2 linked regions of the Kluyveromyces lactis genome follow. The protein of the gene in region 1 interacts with the protein of each later gene in a biochemical or structural test. Links are inferred from orthologs where the notes say so. Each region holds a gene or a part of one and is shown on either strand. Other genes may lie near its edges. The genes, in order: VID24 and FBP1.

Region 1 (3,245 bases):
ATAAAGTTTCCGAAATGTTTAAGCCGAGTGACTAAGAGGATAGAGGGCAAAAAACTGAAAGACGAGTTGAGAAGACAGTACAAAACTATGAATTCAGTGAATGGAGTGGGTAACCTTGAATTACTTTGGCATCAAAGAAGAATCGTTAGATATTCAGAATGTTTGGAGGCCAAGTTTAAGGTGAATAAAGACTGTGATGAGTAAGCAGCACGTGACATGGTTCTTTGCAATGGTTCACAAATCCCGATATGAACTGAAAGTAAAACATTTGTGCAAGAAACCAGCTCGTATGGCGCAGTGGTAGCGCAGCAGATTGCAAATCTGTTGGTCCTTAGTTCGATCCTGAGTGCGAGCTGTTATTTTTTTGCCCCTTCTTCATCCTCATCGAGGGCCTCTTTTTTTTTTTTCATGACGTTCGGTTTCTAGGAGAAACAAATCGAGCAGTAAATTGTAACGATGTATATCCCATTATTTATATGACATTAGAGACGTGATTAGGTAGAAATGAAAAGTGAAAGCGTAAATTGGTATTAGAATATTAACTGAATTAATGTAATGTGGTGTAGAAGTAAACTTGAACTGAAATTTGAAGTAAATGAGTGGAGCAAGGAACTTGGTAAATTAGAAGAGACAGAAAAAAAGAATGAAAATAAAACACCCCATGAAAGATGTGGTTTTATTTATTTTAATGTCATTTAATTATGCAAATTCGAATGAACAATCTCCGATTGATGGTTCTTGTAAAGGTTGCAATTCTAACTGTTGAAATCTTTCAGCATGTTCATGGTAGTAGAACCCCAGAATGTTACCAAGTAATTGATCGTGTACTATGTAGTAGTAGCCGTCGTAAGATGCACCATCTATTGATTCCAAATCGGCATCAGGCACCAGGAATTTCTCATTCCACCTCATGTAAAGGAACCTTTGATTCAAGTAATCGGTATGTGAGTAAGTACCATCGATGATAGATTGTAGAATATTCTTAGAAGGATACTTTGGATCGTTTTGCATGCAAAGTTCTTTGAAAGATGGGAAATTCAACCAATGCTCCAAATCAGTCTGGTCCGAGGCCTTATAGGACGCATAATCTATTGGGATATCTTTGGATAGAAACCCTAGAGAATCCGTTACGGTGATGGATTCGAAGAAAGTGGTGATCTCGGGATTTTGTACCGTGAGACCCTTTATAGAGAGGAATCCAGTCAAATGAGGCGAGCAACAGTTGGATTCGTTATCATTTGGTAAAGAAACAGATTGGATAGTGATCATGACTTGGAACTTCTTGTATCCCGAGAGTTGGTACCCAACAAACCGTTTTCTAGCCCCTAGCCAATGAGTTCTTTCGTGGTTCTTGGGAGTCTGAGGTCTCGATCTAGGAGGCGAGTTCAAAGATGGTGAGCATGAGTCCTGGATATCGTAATCCTCCGAATCTTGAAAGTTTTCATGCGAACGCCGTATCGAATTGATAGAATCGTGAGACCCAGTTCTGTGCAGCGAAGTGTTCCTGAAATATGGGTTTCTATGGAAAAAAGGAGTCAAAGGCGCAGGGAATGCTATAGGTGATTGCTGTTTTTGCTGTTGCTGTTGCTGTTGCTGTTGTTCCTGGGTCTGACCCTGACCCTTATATGGAGACGAGCTACTCGCCTTGGCGAGTTGCGTCTCCAACCCAGAGCTATGCGAACGTGTATCTTCGTTGATCATCTGTAAAATGTATGAATGTATCTTGCCTTACAACTTGTAAGTTGTAACTAGTTTTCTAAAGCAAGTAACTAACTCACTTGACAAAGGCAATCTGCGATGAAGCAGCGAACAGATTAATACGTCCAACAATAACCACTCGGTATATATACATATATATAGTAATAATAATAATAATAACTATCTCAATCAAGAAGGTAATATAAAAAGCATCACCAGGCCACCTTTAAAAAGCGAAGACCAGATCGACATCGATAAAGAAATAAGAAAAAGAGATAAAAGGAAAAGAAATAAAACACGGCAAAGAAACCGACAATGAAACACGCGGAAGAGGAAGATTTCCAGTTCCAACCATGACTCTATCCTATCAACTGGACTGGGAAAAACCAATGAACAAGGCAGAGACAGAAGTAAAATGGCTGCATAGGTGAAAGGAGTGACACATAATGGAAAAAAGTAAAAAGAGAGTAAATGTGTTCAGGAGTGAATTATGATCGAGGTGCGAGTCTGGTGTTGAAGGAAAAGAAACGGGGGGAAATATCGAAGAGACTGTGCACCGGTTTCTGGGCAAAATACCCGGAAAAACCTTTCGTTTTGGATTTTCTTTTTTTCCGGCACCAAGTTGGAACAGAGAGGTACCCAACGAAATGGCGGAGGAAGAATCAAAGAAGGACCAAAGTTCACAAAAAGAAATACGAGAGAATGTTGCTACAGGGGAAAGGAACATTCACAGACATAGCCCGATCCGGTTTGTTCCGAGGTGCGGGTAACAACTTAGCGCAGCTAACTCTTTCTTTCTCTACGCTCGGTGTATGCTGTCAAAAAAGTGTGGCTCTTCTAGTCACGTGATTACTGTTATAACGCGCCCGCTTATGTTACCCGGATATATGTATATTTGCTATATTTGTATTTTCGCCACCGTTCAACGTTATTCCGGGTAACACAATGGGTATCTCTCTCATCGTCAAAAGATTTTCTCGTCACTTCTTCCACATTCAGACTGGAATTTAAAATAAAATCTGTATACCATCTTTTCACATACGTATCTATTAAATGATGCACTACTACTTGTTGCACGTATTATCGGAACTACTCTTTTTCAACTTTATATACTTACTGATTTATGTATGCCTTTTCTAATAATTAGTTAGTTAGTTGTCCTTTGTCCACTGGAATCTGCCGTCGATAAGCAATTCATAGTTAGAAGAGAAGTGCTCTTTCTTACCAAGCCAATCCCAGCTGTAACTCTCTAACCACCACCATGAATGCTCAAATCAGTAACCTAGTCATCATGTTGATCATGATGCAAGTATCTCGTCGTTTGGATATGGAGGATCCTTCGATCGTGTTGTACATCCGTATCGCTTATGTCGCTTCTGTTGCCATCACTTGGTCCATCTACCAATACGCTAGAGCTCAAATCGTTAAGAAGAACGATTTGGCCACTTTGAAATACGTGGCTCCAGCTAACCCATTGGGTGGTCAAACCGAGAAAAAATTGGAAGTCACTACCGTTCGTGATTACGATTTACAACAGATTGATTCTG
Region 2 (3,142 bases), on another chromosome or scaffold:
GTTGTATCAAACACTAGTTCCATCTATCACCCCAGGTCTGGAGTCTTTAACAGGGGTACCATAACAGTCAAGGTTCTTGAGCCAATTAGCACGGAAAATTTGAAGAAAGAAGACGTAGGTGATCTATGTAACCGTGTTCACAAGTTGATGAACGACGAGCTGAAAAATATTGGATACTCCGAAGCCATCGTGGATACCGTTTTACCTGCAGATGTGATCGCGTATAACTCTGCCAGACGTTTTGAAGATCAGCATCGTTTGACTGCAGATGATTACGAAGAGGAAATAGTTGACCTGGACCGTTCTTCTATTCACTCTAATGGGACTGTTGTGACCAATCCAGAACCCACTGAACGTAGTAGTTTACTCAAAGAAGTTATTTAGAGAATATAAATAAGAGATTCTTACTTTTTATATTTAACAGTACTTTCTATAATACAAGAGAATGTATGATAAATGTAAATACTGGAATCGTGAAATAGTTATTCAAGGTCGGTTATTAATTTATTTTTAATGTGGTATTTCATGAATTATTATGTTACTTAATTTTCTTCTGTTGATGGGAGGTTCGTATACGTATTTACAACTTACCGATATGCTTTAAATATTTATCAACGTCTCCAGAGCTACCTAACCAGATACTGCTTTTGTCGTGAATATGTTGAGGGACCAAATCCAAGATACGTTCACCTCTATCATTAACGGCTTTACCACCAGCTTGTTCAACAAGGAAAGCCATTGGGAATGCTTCATATAACAATCTTAACTTCCCGTTAGGATTTTTCTTATCACCTGGGTAAGAGAATAAACCACCATATAGTAAAGTTCTGTGTACGTCAGCGACCATTGAACCGATGTAACGAGCAGAGTAAGGCTTACCGTTATTTTCTTCGCTGTTTTCCTTCAACTTGGCAATGAAATCAGCGATAGTTGGTTCCCAATAGCAGGTGTTCCCCTCATTGATGGAGTAAATAGATTTTTGCTCAGGTAGTCTCAATTCTGGGTAAGTCAAGATAAATTCACCCAAGTTATTGTCCAAAGTGAACCCATTGACACCTGCACCGGTAGTTAAAACCAAATGCGTGGACGCACCGTACATAGTGTAACAAGCAGCAACCATTTCTCTACCGCAACGAGCAACATCGTTGATGGTACCCTCACTATCTTCTTCCCCAGAGTTACCATTCTGATTCTCATGAATCTTGAACAGAGAGACAATGGTACCCACTGAGACACCAGCATCCAAGTTAGACGAACCATCAATTGGGTCACAACATACCGCGTATTTACCAGGGCTGTTACGGAAAACGATCAAATCTTCTTGTTCTTCAGACACAAGTACCTTGACGTTACCAGACGCTTTCATAGCATTGATGAAGATTTCATCACCCAACACATCCAACTTCTTTTGCTGGTCACCGGTACTATTTGAAGCACCAGCCAATCCGATCAAGTTAACCAATTCAGCACGTCTAATTGTTTGAGAAATAAATTTAAATGCAAACTGCAAAGAGTTCAAAAGCATAGAAAACTCCCCAGTGGCATTTTTCGCAGAAAGATGCTGTTGGTCCAAGATAAAACGGGACAACGTGATGATGTCGGTATTGATAGACTCAGCTGAGTCTCTTCTGTGTTTAATACCAGCCATTTATTAATTATTTAATCGGGATATGCGAAGCTTCGGAAGGGAAATGAATTGAATAGTCTTCTTTCTACTTGATTATGCCTTTAATTTGAAACTAATGCTCGAATCCAATAATAAGTCATAAAGTGCTGAAGAGGATCGAAATCATAAAACTGGTTTGAATCCAATTTATATACACTAAAATAAGGATCAAACAGACAATATACACGACTTACATCCATACGCAAGTAGCGGACAACGCAACGGATTAATTCGGAAAATTCTACCCCCGAAGAAACCAACGAAGCCAGTTCATTACTCTGTCTGATATCGATTATCTGGTCTCTGAATTTCTTCTAGCTTTGAAAAATCGCAAGAACCGCACCATTTCTGGCGCGAAGGAAACAAAAGAAAAACAGAATGAGAAAAGCTCGCTATGGACGCAGTATGGCACGTAGTGTGCTAAGGCATTTCCTAGTCACTTGAAACAGAACATGATTTGCAAGTACTATTTGATTATGTGTTTTCTGTAGCGATTTAAGGTGATTTTGCTCATAACACTGAGAGGGAAAATAAAAAAAAAGGTTTTATTGATCTTCAAATTAAATGAATCTGGGGTCATATATCGTGATGTGTGGGTTCATTGGAGCTCCGGGAACATGTTTTCGTCTTTGGTTTTCCAATTTCTGCCAGTGCTGTATCGGTAGTGGGGGGGAACCAGAGGGGCGACCGGGAGAATTTATGTATGTGTGGTTGATGGGTGTTTGACAAGTAGATTTAAATACCGTGATATTACCCGGATATCTCGTGAAAAGTAACTGAGATCCGTCCAAAAATTCGGGTCACGTGTTCTGGTCTACTGCAATAAGAAAATCTAACATGAAGAAGCGATTTCGGCATATTCCTTTGATCAGTTGTAACAATCGTCAAGGTAGAGCGGAAGTAAGCTCCATCAAATCGTTCCTTGTGTACACGATTGTATTTCCATAGGATCTCTCTTTCGCCGTCTGGTAACGTACTTTTCCGTTGGGAATAAATAGAATTATCCATCCGGTTTTCCTATACACTGCTTAACAATGGCTAATGCTTGGCAAAGTAAGAAACTTGGTGCTTGGGGAAGTGAAAGCTCTGCGTTGAAAAAAAAAAGTATGGCATATACGACCGCTTCTCCCACTTCTGCTTCAGCCATTCCTACTCCAGTAACAAGTGAAAATACCAGTAGAAGTAGTATCTCTTCGCAGGACTCACGCAGTAACAAGAAAAAAAATAACAACAGCAATGGGCAGAATTCCCAAACGAACCAAGCATCATATGTTCATTCTAAACCACCGTTCAACCACGATGAAGTGAAACAGTTCCTGATATCACAATTCGAACAGTACTCTAGGTCATCTGTGACCCTGACTACGGATGATTCTACAGATTGGAATACTTCTCAGTCGAAAACATGGAAATCAAAAAAATATGGGTGTTTGTCCGAACTTGAGCGCGTTCTAAGATAAATTTTGCATGGCAGTA

What was found.
Region 2: of the proteins of VID24 (region 1) and FBP1, one has a biochemical effect on the other in vitro, tested with the Saccharomyces cerevisiae proteins (2 studies listed by BioGRID). The link is inferred for Kluyveromyces lactis from reciprocal best matches to the Saccharomyces cerevisiae genes VID24 and FBP1.

The regions. Positions count from the first base shown.
Region 1 is NC_006038.1:832,870-836,114, reverse strand, and holds VID24 (glucose-induced degradation complex subunit VID24), read right to left. Parts: upstream 1,702-3,245; coding exon 700-1,701; downstream 1-699. Other genes in the region: SND3 (Snd3p), read left to right, coding at 2,960-3,245. UniProt on the Saccharomyces cerevisiae protein: Substrate-recognition component of the GID E3 ligase complex recruiting N termini and catalyzing ubiquitination of proteins targeted for degradation.
Region 2 is NC_006041.1:124,786-127,927, reverse strand, and holds FBP1 (fructose 1,6-bisphosphate 1-phosphatase), read right to left. Parts: upstream 1,649-3,142; coding exon 581-1,648; downstream 1-580. Other genes in the region: 1-acylglycerol-3-phosphate O-acyltransferase SLC1, read left to right, coding at 1-384; PBP4 (Pbp4p), read left to right, coding at 2,701-3,126.